Linked DNA regions of Caenorhabditis elegans. The protein of the gene in region 1 purifies or fractionates together with the protein of each later gene. This does not show direct contact. Each region holds a gene or a part of one and is shown on either strand. Other genes may lie near its edges.

Region 1 (6,520 bases):
CTTTTGTTGGAGAATTTGCTCCAATCGTAACTGAAATAATTTTTTAAAAATCTTAATTGAATAGGCATCGGAGGCTCTAGGGTGTTCACCGGCTTTAAGCTTAAACGTACTTGGTTTTTGTCGAATTCAAAAAGAGCAACTCCATGGCGGTTCTGGCCTCCTCCAAATAATTGCCATACGTTGGTGACCCAACCAATTAGATTAATTGCTGTACCCTTTCCATTCATATCTGAAATGATTTTTTTAAATCTTAATTGAATAGACATCGGAGGCTCTAGGGTGTTCAGAGGCGTTTTAAGCTCAAACGTACCTGGTTTTTGTGGAATTCAAGAACAAGGCTTCCATTTCGGCTCTTGTCTCTTCTAAAATGTTACCCACTGTTGGTGAAGCCACATAGATATCGTTGTAGACCACCTCAGTGCCTGTAATTTTTAGCTGTGATTAAGTAGTATCCAAATTTCAACGGTGGAGTTCTGAAATTTGAGAATTAGAAAATTTTTGTTTTTTTTTGTCGAAAATTGTTTTGTGACAGCCATGATGGAGACCCGAAATTAAAAATTTGGCTTTTTTAGACCCAAAATGGTCCAAAATTACCGAAAAAAATCGATTGTTTTACAAAAAAAACGCCAACTATTTCAATATTTTCAGCATTTTTTGGGGCTTTGTTGAAAAAACCCCAATTTTTTGTTCAGATTTCAGAGGTTTTTATCTAGCAAAAGCAGGAAATATACTACTTTTGAACACTTTTTTGAAGTAAAAACTAGCAGAACCGTCTGAAAGTCGTAGTTTTTTTCATAATTTTCAGTCGAAATTTGTTTTAAAGCCGTCAATTTGGGCAGTTTTTTGACAGTTTTCGGTTTATTCGGCCGTTTTAATGGCTTCATATTAGGAAACATTTGGAACAATAGTTGGTTTGACCTTCAATAACTTTTTATTAGCATACTAGCACCGACCGACATTTCGCGAGTTCGAGTGTTAAATTGACCGTCCCATAAAATGTCGGCCGAATAGTGATTGCAGAATTTCAGAGAAACAACAAGGATCGTGATAATTGATAGAATCGGCACAAAATTTTCGGAATGTTTTTTCCTGAAACCTAGATAAGCTACCCGCAATTTGCCAAAAACGGCAACAAAGTTTAGTTCAAGAATGAAAAAAAAAGTTTCCGTTTCAAAACTTTTTTTAATTTATTTCTCTGGAATAGTCATATGTTTGAAGATCACGATGTTCAAAAAACAACACCGCGTTTTGTGATTAAATACCCCCAATGCCGTCACTTTTCGATTTACACAACAGCAGCGGACACCTCACGGGTTGTTGGCATTTCAGTTTCAGTGTCCTGTAAGATATCGGGCGCTTTTAGAACAATAATAGACATCGGAAACCTCTTTTTCTTGGAGTTTAATTTCAGGGAAGACACAATGTATTTCAGATGGAAACAAGAATATTGGGCGAATTAAATAATTAAAATTTTGGAAAAATGAATCATGTTTCGGTACGTTTTCAAATATGTACTAATGCACGTGGAGTCAGAAAGTCCCATTTCGCTTTGATCTTCGAAAAATGCGGGAGGTGAGACGCAGATATATCAACCGATTGCGCATGATTAAGAACGTGCTGACGTCACGATTTTTCCGGGGAAAAATTGCCGCATTTTTTGTAGATCAAACCGCAATGAGACAGCCTGACATCACGTGCTAATGTAACGAATCTAACTCAATTAATTCCTTGTTGATGAAATGTTCACTCAATGAAATGTTGTCCCTCGAGCAGACACAACACCGACCAGTCAGAGGAGAAAGCTACGCCCCTTGCAACTCGCTGATTGGTCGACGCCAATCACATTAGAGCGCGAGTTGGAATACACTGGGAATGTACAGAAGAAAAAGCAACAAAAAACCGCATTCCTTTTACTTGACACACAGAAAAATTCTACGAAAAAATACAAAAAGAAGTTCTAATTCACAAGTTTAGCGTCTTTTCCACAAAATTGAACGTCTTTGATCTTTTTCCCATTCACCAACATAGAAATATCCATCACTTTTTGCGAGTTTTCATCGAAAAATACAAGTTGAACATCCAAAGAGCCATCTTCGAGATGTTGTTTCACGTAGATCTGGAACATTTTCACAAGATAGGCAGTAGGCAGGCACGCCTAGACCTACCTTCATTGGCAATTTGCTCACAGTTCCATCGTCATTATTAATCAAATAATGATTATCCAACACAAGAGCACCACCTGATGGATTCTTAGCCTTTTTGAACGTCTGAAACAGTAAATTTGTAGATTTTGTCTAGATTTGCAGCTTACAGAAGTGGTCAACTCCGAAATTGTAGTGGCCTCCGACTTGGTGAACATCGAAGAAGAAGTCGTCTTTTTCGGATTCGACACCGACGTCGAAGTAGTCGACTCGACGACACCCTTATCCTAAAAAAGTAATTTCGGTGGCCGTGGAAAAGAGAAAACTAGGCCACCAAGAGAACCTACCGAACTCTCATAAGACAGCGATGGAACATCGAAATCAATCGATTCGGCGTGTCCGAGCTGTTTGTTGAAGATAATACGTGGCTTTGACGAGTTTTTCAGCGTCTCATCCATACAAGTTTCCTCACATGAAATGAGCTTGAGGTTCTTTTCCGATGAGCGGGGCTTCTTGTCAACAGGCTTCGGGATTTGCATCTGGAAATTTGTTTTTTTTTTAAGTTTTATTTTAAATAAAACTACTTTTTTCGTAAAAAATGTTTTTGTTCACGATTCCGTGATTATTTTCATTCCGTGATTATTTTCACTCGGGAATCGCTCGCCCACTATGGGGGAGTCTACGCAAGGACAACGTAAGGACAAGGACAACATTCTAATGGAATGGAAACAATTGCCCGATTGCACCAATTCTAGTTCAAGCGAACAATGATAACTCTTGTATTCTGTATTCCTTCACGTCTCCCAGCGAGCGTAATAAATTATTATAATTATTATTATTATTTTCCACAAATTCGGTCTCGAAACGAACAAAAAACATTATATTGTAGATTGCGTAGAAGTGTATGCGCCTTCAAGAAATACAGTACCCCACTTCTCTTACTTTTTTGCAATTTTTTTCCAATTTTCCGCTATTTAAATAATTTTCGTTTTCTTCGATTTTATATAATTTTTCGTTTTCTTCGATGCTTTCTTCGATTTTTATCGACTTTTTAACGAAAGACATTCAAAAATCGATCGATTTGTGCCTTTAAGAAGTACAATACCGCAGCCTGGTCTCGGCGCAATCGAGAAACTCAAAAATAGGAGGCATGCGCCTTTAAAGAGTACTGTACTTCAATCATCTCGTTTTTCGCGATTTTCGTCCGATTTTTCTCGTTTAATAAAGAAAATCCATGAAAAATGAGAAAAAAAGCGGAGAAATTACAGTACCGCCCCAGAAATCGCTGCGAGACCCGAGTTTTTCAGTTTTCAAACCTTTAACTGCTGAACCTCTTCCATTCGTCTAGCTTCTCTAATCATCTTCTCGTTGTCCATCATTCGATTGACGTGTTTGCCACGTTGCAACAGTTCCCGAATCGCTTTATCCAAATTGTCCATCGTTTTGACTGTACAATCACAATTCACACATTCCATCGCTTGCTTCGAATTTTGAAACTGAAGGAATAATTGATTTCCTTTTTTTTCATTCAACTTTAGAATTTTAAAAATTAGGCTGCAATGCTAGAGCAACACGTTAACTAAATGCCTTAGTAAATTTTCAATTTATGAAAAAGAGTGAAGAAGAGTTAAGGAATTAAGCACATTTGTAAAAAATAATGAGAATGGTTGCAGTGGTGTTGCAAAATGTCCAAAAAAGTGATACACAACATGTACATAAAATTGGAGGGAAATTTCACAACTTTTGAATGGGGATGATGAACATCCCACAGTGAAAGCTACCAAAGAAATAAAACTGGGAGCGAATGGGTTGGGGAAATTGACTACAATTGTGATGAAAAAGACGAGAGAGATTAGTTGAATATGGAGGGGAGGGGATTCAAATAAATAATATCTACAGAATTTTCAAAAAAAAAAGGTTTGATTTAATATATTTTGCGGTGTGAATTGTAAATTTTCGAGTAGATTGAGTCGTGGATTGTGCCTAGTTTAGCGTTGAGCTTTCGAGTGATCGATGAGCCATTGGAGGGTGATATCTGGAAAACAATTCAGTTTAGAATGGTTCAAAGATTTAAAAAATTACCAATATTCTCCTTCTCTTTGCATGAAATAGAATAGCAGCAAATCTCGCGATTCTGGATTGATGACAGATTCATTCTTTCGATCAATTGCCGCTCATCAAGTGCTCCAGGCAAATCCTTCTTGTTTCCGAGCACCAAAACTGGAATAGCGTCGAGCTGTGGCTTGTCCAACAGCTGCATAAGCTCATTTCTGGATGCTTCGAGCTTCTCCTCGTCGGCAGCGTCCACCATGAAGACGATGGCGTTGACACCGCGGCAATATCGTTCCCACATCGAGCGGAACCGTGGCTGGCCCCCGATATCCCATAATTTGATCGTCACGTTGCCTTTGGTGATCTTCCGCATATTGAATCCGACTGTTGGGATCATATCTTCTGTGAATTGGCCGCTCTAAAGTGAAGAACATTGAATTTAAATTTATTTTCCAGAAAAACTAACAGCAATAACATTGACAAATGTCGTTTTTCCAGAGTTTTGGAGCCCAACAAGTGTCAACTCCATCTCCTCTTTCCAAAAAAGACTGCGAATCCAGTCGAGAACCTTATTCACCATAGCCAACATCTTGAATATTGATGTTGAATGAGGAAATTCCTGAAAAGTGCAATTCGATTGAAAAGGGTGTGTGTGTGAGAGAGCACAAAGAAAAACAGAAGGGTTTAACGGAAAACCGCTATTAATTTTGGAGCAAGCTCGCTTTTGCTGTTGAAAAAAAAACAAGTAGAAATATTGATTTTCCTTATCGCAAAATTTATTTTGCAGTAACTTTCACGAAATCAAAACCAATGAATCATCGAGAATAGTCAACAAAACACGTGATGTCTATAAAATTTTGAGAGAAACGTTTCAAAACAATAGAATTGCTAAAAGCAGATAGTTTCATTGGATAATATCGGATTGCAATAAGAGTTTTCAGTGAATATAGTCTTAATTTTTACAAATTTCTCAAGCGGACACAGTTTTTTGCTCAGTTTGCTCGATTTTCTAAAATCTGAATTTACGTTTGTCTAACCCATTCTCAATGAATGTATGGAATTTTTGAAAAAACTAATGAATAATCAGTCTATTTCCTTGAAAATTCTCAAAAAATCGATAGAAAATCCCGAAAATCCGTCGAAAATTACGAAATCCAAAGCCAAATCAGTGCGACAAGGAGCCAATCGAACGACCGCTGACATCAAAGGCGCACGCAGTTTCGAGGACGGGTTTCGCCGCGATCGAGTGTGTCGATTTACGCAGCACGCGGCACACCGGCGACCATCCTTCACCGTTTTTCAGCTTTTCAGCGTTGAATGCACGCTTCGGAAGCCGTTCAACAACAACTAAAGGACGACTGGGATAATCGCGAGTTTGAGCAGGTTAGTAGACGGAAAAAAATGATGGAAATCGATTGAAATGTGAATGAAAATTGATTAAAAATGGTTGTTGAAATTTTTGAATATTTTTAACTGCGGTGTTGAAATAGCTTTTCACTTCAGTAGGTTGTGATTTTATACAATTTTACAACAAATATTCATGTGTGAATTCATATCTCCCACACTAACCCGTACTAACTTTCAGATTATTGCCGATAACATCAAGAACATCGCTAACTTCTTGTCCAGCTTTGGTTTGTAGAAAAATTATTATTTTAAATTAATTCCTTTAAAAAATATCTGATTTCTTCCAGAGCTCTCTTGCCGCACAAAACTAGCGACTCTCAGCGACAAGCTTAACCTTTTGGAACGAAAGGTCGAATTTCTTGAAGCCCGTGTCACCAAAGGAGATACTCTTTCGTAATAATGTCTGCAACTGCCGGAAGAGTCGTCCGTGCCGGACAACACGCCGTTCGCACCGTCGCTCCAATCAAATCCAACAATTCCGCCGAGGCACGCATGTCGGTTCTCGCCGCTTATAAGGAGTTCCAACGTCTCACTCCAAAGTTCTGGTGGGATTTCGGACTTCATGATATGCCGCTCGGCGTGTTCCGTGCTGTCATCAAGAAGCAATTCACAAAGAACGGACATCTCACCGATGTTCGTGTCGTTGACAGACTTGTCGGAGAAACTCATCAGGTTTTTGAATAAAATTTAAATTTTCTAAACTCTAATTGTCACTTTCAGCACATGAAATCGATCCGTTACGCATTCTACAACCCGGATCACGTGCGCAACTACCTGTTCGCTGAAAATGTCGAAGCCAAGCCAAAGGACTTCCTCTCCAAATTCCTCAACGGAAAGGAATAGATTTTTTATTTTTCAGTGTTTTATGTGTAATTGTAAAGTAAATTCTCGTATTTTAAATCGAATCGGCTGATACTAGA
Region 2 (7,810 bases), on another chromosome or scaffold:
AAATCTTACTTACTTATTTGATGAAAATCTAAAATTCCAGATAGCAACATCAATGGTCTCAAGTCCAGAACGCCCTGCAAAACACCCTCTGAGCTTCGCCCTCCGGAGATTTATTGCAAATTCCGTAGTCGATATGATTTGTTATTATGTCCATCATAAACGTGAAGGAAAATCAACAAAACGGCCCCGTGGAACATCTACTGGGGGTACGTAATTGTGCGTCAAGTTGGGTGTTTTTATTACATCGGATTTGACGAGCAAATTTTTGGATGTTTTTGAGAAACTTTTCAGAAATTAATGTACACTAAGGATTCAATCAATAATTACAGAAATACCAGGCTCATCAAGTTTACGAATGTTCTCTGAATTACGTAACCTATTCACCGGTTGGAAGGGTCTTCATATCGATTATTCGACTAATGACAAGAAAATGGCTGGAATTCATTTCGTCCGGAAAATGGTAGGATTTTGATTTTTCTACAGATCAGCAACCTGAAAAATTTTAACAAGTTTTTTTTTTCAGATTCTCGAGGAGCCAAACTTCAATGAAAAAGAGATAATCTATACGGATGAGCCCATGGAATTGGCTCACGAGCGGCCAGATCCTCCACCTCGAGAGATTATTCGTCAGCAGCGAAATGAATTTCAATTTTGATTTTTGATTTTTCTTTAATTTTTTTTTGTTGCAATTCTCGCGCACCAAATTTGATGTATTTGTGTGTATTGGGTTGGTGTTTGCGTACTTTTCAATCGCGGACCCAAACACCACATTTGACGCGCAAATTCTACAAAACTGTATATATTTCCTTTTTTTGTAAATTTGGATTTCCCATGGAACACCCCAATTGAATAATCAACTCAGGCATCGAAACGAAAAGAGCCATAAATTAAATTTATCTCAAAATTATTATTGCAAATAAATTGTATTTTACCAGCCGTTCGCATTTTCCTGGAGTTTTGCAGACCTTCAAGAAAATTCTAGAAATTTCCATTTTTTCTAGAACGTTTTCTTTCTCAGAAAATTTGAATTCCCGGAAAGATGGTTCTTTCCACAATTGCTCCCCTACTAACACCGAACCCTTTAAATGGCGAAAAGTCAGTTTTTCCAAAACTACAGTAATCCTACAGTGCTACCACAATACCCTGACTATGTCCCCCCACTAACCCCAAATCAATATCGCTGTAAAAGCCAAAAAAAACTTTTTTTTTCTAAAACCACAGTAATCCTACAGTATTACTACAGTATCCCGATCATATCCCCCACTAACCCCAAACCAATATCACTGCAAAAGACGAAAACTTTTTTTTCTTCTAAAACTACAGTAATCCAACAGTAATCCTACAGTACCCCGATCATATCCCCCCACCAAACCAATATCCCTGTAAAGACAAAAATGTTTTTTTCTAAAACTACAGTAATCCAACAGTAATCCTACAGTACCTCTACAGTACTACTACAGTACCCCAACCATATTCCCCATTCATACCAATATCCCTGCAAAAGACAAAAACTCATTTTTTCTAAAACCACAGGAACCCTACAGTAATCCTACAGTACCCCTACATTGCTACTACAATACCCCGACCATGTCCCCTAATAATCCCCACGTGCTATATTATCATTTACTATATAGATCATTCACAGTTTTTTGAGTTCAAACCTTCTGAAAGAACTAGGAACAGCCACGCTTACAGGTGGAAAACTCCTAAAAGCGAACTCATTTTTTCACTCATCGTGTTCAACCCTGCAAAAAGCAATCATTCTTAACTTTCGTTCATCAGACACAGACTTTATCCCTATTTTTTGGACACATTAATAAATGATAAGGTTATGTAACAAGGCCTCAACCCGTTCCCACTTTTCTGTATTATTCCACAATATTCAATATAATTTATATTTTTTCCCCTTTTTCTTCTCTTATTTTCACGTTCAAATAAACGTATTCAATAATAATAATATATATAAAGTAGAGTTTCCTTCCGTCCAATGTAGGCTATGCCAACACGCAAAATTACCGTTACTTTGAAAGTTTTCATTTTCAAAAAAATCAAATTAATTTCAAAATTGCACTGCTATTTTCAAGGGGTATTTGAAATTTATTCCAGCCAGTTGGATGCGCCGGGGGCGCGGTCAGCGTCTGGTTTTATATATAAGTAATTATGTTACTGTAGTGCAGGCTCCGCTTGGTGCATTTGGTCAGTGTTTGCGTACTCTCCGGTTGCGCACCAAAACACCACATTAGACGCGCAATTTTTGTCTCCGGCTATGGAACAAGCTAATTTAGGTCTAGTTTTTTTTTGTTGATATTCTAGACCACCAAAATAACCAGTCACATATCAAATCTCTCTCAATCAATTACAACTATTTGTCTCTAATTCTCTCTTTCTCACTCTCACTCTCACTCTCAATTTTCCGATGATTTCCTTATCAATGTGTATGTATGTCTCTTTTTCTGTCTATCTGAGAGTGTGTAACTTCTTTTATATATTATTTTCGGTTTTTTCCTTCTCTTCATCGGCACTGTGATTGTTATTCAAAGAAAAACGAATTTCCAAAAAAAAACTTTTTTTAAAATCAAATTCAAATTTTTAAAACCAATATAGCTATAATGATTCACCGTAGTACTCGGTGATGATTTTTGAAATTTCGAGAAGAAAGCCGAAAATGTTACTTATTCTGTTTACCGCCGTACTTTCGGCACTTTCTGTTGTTATTCCACAGTGTCAGCCGCCTAATGGTTCGTTTTTTCTTAAATTTGCGCGTCAAACATGATGTTCACATTACAATTCGCCGCAAAAATTTGAGTTTCAAGTAATTTTATTGGAAAGAAGCGAAATATTTACGGGATTTCAAATTTGCGATTTTTGGTTACAATACACAATGTTTGACATGCAATTTTCAACGAAGTATGCAATTACGCTATACCGCACTTTTTCTAGGTCTCGAAGCGATTTTTTCAACAAATAAAGTTTGCAGACTGTTCTGTGCACGTGTTCAGTGTCCGACTCTCCCAAAAACCAGAAGCTGAAGATCCAGAAAATACTACTTACAGTGTGAGTTCTACTACAACTACACGTGGTGTCAGAATGTCCCATATCGGTTTGATCAATGTAGATCTACGAGAATCGCAGAAATATAGACGCAGACTTTTCAACTAATTTCACATTGAGCGGGCTGACGTCACATTTTTTGTAAAAAAATTTCCGCATTTTTTGTAGATCAAACCGTAGTGGGACAGCCTGACACCACGTGCAACTTTTTGGGTTTCGTTTTTTTTTTTTAATTTCAAACTTTCAGGCGGTACGAAACAATGAGTACGGTACGAACTACTACGAGATACGTGGCGGAAAAGAAATGACACCGAAATTGGCGGCCGAAATTATTCAGAGTATGGGAAAAGACGCCGATCCTAGGCTTAAAGTTTGTCTCTTTCATATTTTTTAAATCGAAAACTATTATTTTTACAGGAAAAAATAAATAACAAAGAATTCTACTGGAAAGCCGTCGAACCAGGTGGCTCACGTGTCATTTCTGCTTCACTTCCACCACCGCCTACGCAGAAGAAAGAGCAAACGTCTACGGTGAGAATTTGCGCGTCAAATCTAGTGTTTTCGGTTATTTTTCCTTTGTGGACACAATACACCACATTTGACGCCAAATTTTTAAAGATAATTTTGCAGTTTAAAAATTTGTTGGTACCTTCAAAATGAACCAAGAGATATCCCCTGTCAAAATTTTGCACATGGTGCATCGACTCTGAAAAAGCCAGCTTCCGTAAAATTCCAATTCCCGCTGAAAAATGAGATATTTTTTGAATTTCAAATAATTTTCCAATTTCTGTTATTATGCAAATTTCAAGGTAGATGAAAAGATTCGATTGTGGTGGGACCCGACAATTCTATTATTTATCATTGGAGCGCGGTTACAGAGTTTTTAACTTTTTTAAAAATTTTGCCGATTATCGGTTTGTACGACGAAAATATTCTAACAAAATGAAAAAAAAAAAAAATATTCGTGACTATGGTAGCTTAAATGTTTATATCAATTTAGATAACGGCAGGACCCAACACCAACAATTTATATTTCTTTTAACATTAGAGCGCGCATGCTGACCACTTACCAATTTTCGATTTTTCCAGCCAAGTTCCTATTCCTTCAAGCCATCTGATTTCCCGTGGATTCTTGTCGGATTACTCTTCTGCATTGGAATTTTCATGGGCGTCATGCTTACCGCTTGTTACCATTTTATAAATAATATGCAAAAGGAGCCACAATTCGATCGTTCCAGTGCCATTATATATAATAAAGCTGGCGATAGTGTGGGCTCCGAGAGCCGCCGTCCGATGCTTCCCAGGCGGAGAGAGCAGCAAATTGAGCTTATAGAACGGGCATCTGTGGCACCTTCTATGTCCTGTAAGTTTTTAAAAAAATATTATATTTTTTTCACAAACAAGAAAAATGAAGTTTGCGCGTCAAATCTGATGCATTTTGTGTGTCTTTGCGTACTTTCCGATTGAGGACTCAAAACATCATATTTGGCGCGCAACCTTTGTGTTTGATCTACGGAAAACTTAGTTTTGGCAAATTTCGAACTACCCATTGACTTTCTCAGCCAAAACTGTACAATCCAAAGCTGTCGAAAAAATTAGAGAAAGTTGCAAAATATTCCTGGGTACGGTAGCTAAAATATTTAGATCCTACTGATACCCATTACTCTTAAAATCGCACTTTTTCTCAATTTTAATGGAAAAAAACAATTCAAATAATAGCACAATTAAACTATTTCCAGCTGGAACACGAATAGGCCCTGCGTGGCGGAACACTAATGGGACTCCAGCTGTTATAATCACCACGTCATCAACACCCAGCCGACACATATCGCTTTAACTTGATTTTCACATTCGAAAATTGCAATAAACTTTTGAGTGTAACTCCATCTCAGTATCCCTCTAGAACTACTTGATATTAATGTTCCAAAAATCCAATTTGTGCCATGTGATTGAGAGTTTCTTCCAGCCACCCCTGTTGTCGAGGGAAATTCTAAATTCTAAGCCTAAATTCGGGATTTCGAACTTGAAAACTTTAGAACTTAATGTACAGAGAGTATTTAGCAAAAGAAGAATAAATTAATTGGAAACGAAAAATAGAAATAAATGACATTTTAAAGACGGGTGTGTATGTAAAAAAAATCGGGATCGGATCAGACATCAAATACATGTAAGAAGAATAAAATTAATTTCAGCGTAGGGAAATTGAATCACTCGACTGGGTTGTAGGTGATATCTCTGCCGAGCTCATCGGCAAACTCGTACCACAGCTTGCTCACGTCCATTGGTGGAAGACGAATCTTTTCGGTTGGCGTGATGTGGCACACTGAAATTTGGAGGATGAAAAATAGAAGCGATTAGATTAAAGGTGGCCGGAGATTTCACAAAATGAACCAATTTTTTCATTTATCCGAAGAATTTTTTCGAATAAAAATCGTCTAAAATTTAAATTTTAGACAAAATAAAAGCCATTTTTAGTGAAAAATGGTCCATTTTGTGGAATAGCCGAGCAAAAAGCTTCACGTACAATTGCAGACGCCTCCGGATCCAGAATCCCGATAAGTGGCGTGCATGATCGCACGCAGGCCGAGCTTTCTGGCCTCGTCGTCCGTCATCTTTGGCTTGTAGTGATTATCGAGGATACCGTAGGCATTCAGAGATCCTGAGCCAACTGAGCACACTTTAAGCTGGCAACGATCTCCTTCCGAGTCGACTTTGAAGATTTGTGGTCCCTTCTTATCGTATCCGGCCACCATCGATCCAACTGACAATCCTTGTCCTCTGTATCCATAGAGCGTATTTGCAAAGTACTTGCTCGCGGCGCTCACGGTGATTGAGGTCTTCTCGCGGAGCTCGTACAAACTGAAAATAAATAATTATTTTTGTTTTGAAGCTGAAAATATTGAAACTCACGTGCAGTACTTGGCGACAATTCGGGTCCAGAACTGACAGTCAGCAGCTCCTCCAGCCATCGTGGCAACCATACGATCTCCGATGTCCAAGATCTTCATGACCGACTTGGATGAGATGTATTCACCACTGGAGGCTCGTGAATCGACAGCCACAATGATTCCTCCCTTGTCAGCTGGAGTTGCTGGCTCGTAGACGAACGCCAATGTGGTGGTTCCTTTGCGGAATTGCATGGATTTTCCGGCGGTCTCGGCGAAGTGAGTCTTCATGAAATCGACGGGCTGGATTCCCAACGGAAGCTTCGCGAAAGTGAAATCAGCTCGAGCCGGCTCGGCGATCAGGTTCTGCTTGGCCATTGCCATCTCTCCTTCGTCATTCTCGAAATCGTCGAATGTCTCGCCCCACATCTTTGGAGTTCGATTCTGAAAATTGATTTAACAAAATGAAACAAATGCAATCAATATTGAAACAGAAAAGTATCAACGGAACTGTAGAACAGTAACCGGTAATTAGAAAAAGTAAGAAAATAAATAAAAGATATGGAATTATTAATTTGGCAATAGAGACTAGCAGGAATTTGAATAAAAATACTATTAACAAGGAAAAGGTACACAACTCAACAAATGGGGGAAAATTGAAAAATAATATCACAAAACGGAGAAAATTTAATCTCGCTTGACTGGAGCCCATGCGGCGGCAAGGTGATGCATGAAGTACATGGAGAATCCGTGAATCTGGAGTGCGACCGCGAAGAAGATGTACCATATGATGACCATCGGGAAGATTCCTTTGAATGTCGGTGTGTTGCTTCCCTCCATGTCTTGAGCATACTCCATCAGCTCTGGAAGTTGTCCTCCAAGCCCGATCATGCATGGGAAGATTCCGACGACGAACTCGGCATAGTAGGCGTAGTGGAGGATCTTGAGCTGAAATAAGAAGTTATATTTGTGGCAAATTGATCAATAAATAAATTACTTTGTTTCGTTGGAACGAATAGATGGCGAGGACGATCGGAATGAATGAGAAGCACCACACATACTCCCATGGGTAGGCTGACGGCATGTCCAGTCGATCGAAGAACGCGTTTTTCCATCCGAAATTTGTTCGGAGGAGTTCGCTGCCAACCTTGAGCCACATGAAGACCAGGATCAAGAAGTGTGGAACGAAGAACCACTTGAGGATCGACTTGTATTGAGCGCTCTCCTGGTAGTGCTGTGCGACCCTCTGCCGATTTTGGAAGTCCGTCCCATCGGTACCCGCCGCTCGAACTCCTCGTGATGACATTCCCGCTTGAAGTGAGCTGAAATAAAGATATAATTGAGTTTCAAGTGATTAAAAAGAGAAATTAAGAAGAAACAGCGAAGAATAACATCTGAGCTGAAAGTATAAATTTCACAGGTCCCAATATCGACCAACTCTACACATTCATCAGTATTTCCATAGAAAGAATGAGAAAACTCGTTAAAAAAGCGAAAACCTGCGAAAGATATAGAAAATTTTGTTTTAGTTAGTTTTAGTGATGACAAAAGATGACAAAAAGACGAGTCTCCGCCCCTTTGCAATGCGCGCGCGCGGTTTTCGCAATATCGCCGCACGGAGTTGCCGTTATTTTTCTTTTACTTTCCCGCTGATAAAGAATTAATATTTCCATAATTCTTTCTATTCTGCCAGGCAAAACACTTGAAAATTGTCGAAAGTAAATAATTTATATGTTTGAATAATGTTTATTAAAGTTTCAAATTAAAAATAAAAGAAAAAAGCTCCGTTACATTAACTGAAAAGCAATTTTAAATTATAAAATTGTGAAAAATTCGATAAATTTGTCGAGCGAATCGCGAAAACATTCACAATT

What was found. Proteins that work in one complex are often made in the same cells at the same time.
Region 2: the proteins of arl-8 (region 1) and dus-2 fractionate together in Caenorhabditis elegans (co-fractionation; one large-scale study listed by BioGRID). This does not show direct contact.

The regions. Positions count from the first base shown.
Region 1 is NC_003282.8:14,796,441-14,802,960, reverse strand, and holds arl-8 (ADP-ribosylation factor-like protein 8B), read right to left. Parts: upstream 4,813-6,520; 5' UTR 4,783-4,812; coding exon 4,660-4,782; intron 4,612-4,659; coding exon 4,224-4,611; intron 4,177-4,223; coding exon 4,130-4,176; 3' UTR 3,734-4,129; downstream 1-3,733. Other genes in the region: Y57G11C.1142 (uncharacterized protein), read right to left, coding at 202-229, 311-345; Y57G11C.14 (uncharacterized protein), read right to left, coding at 1,958-2,116, 2,166-2,267, 2,312-2,428, 2,489-2,680, 3,458-3,616; Y57G11C.1147 (Protein BRICK1), read left to right, coding at 5,511-5,576, 5,779-5,827, 5,888-5,997; nuo-3 (NADH dehydrogenase [ubiquinone] 1 alpha subcomplex subunit 6), read left to right, coding at 6,000-6,272, 6,321-6,443.
Region 2 is NC_003279.8:14,714,098-14,721,907, forward strand, and holds the start of dus-2 (DRBM domain-containing protein), read right to left. Parts: upstream 4,141-7,810; 5' UTR 4,122-4,140; intron 3,583-4,121; coding exon of another isoform or gene 3,469-3,582; intron 3,422-3,468; coding exon of another isoform or gene 3,299-3,421; intron 3,055-3,298; coding exon of another isoform or gene 2,978-3,054; exon of another isoform or gene 2,739-2,977; coding exon of another isoform or gene 2,666-2,738; exon of another isoform or gene 2,501-2,665; intron 934-2,500; exon of another isoform or gene 656-933; coding exon of another isoform or gene 524-655; intron 461-523; coding exon of another isoform or gene 330-460; intron 207-329; coding exon of another isoform or gene 41-206; intron 1-40. Other genes in the region: gid-1 (B30.2/SPRY domain-containing protein), read left to right, coding at 41-206, 330-460, 524-655; Y54E5A.8 (Conserved plasma membrane protein), read left to right, coding at 2,666-2,738, 2,978-3,054, 3,299-3,421, 3,469-3,582, 4,141-4,414, 4,791-4,888; Proteasome subunit pbs-5, read right to left, coding at 5,259-5,374, 5,576-5,910, 5,962-6,365; K05C4.2 (Protein jagunal homolog), read right to left, coding at 6,624-6,884, 6,934-7,242.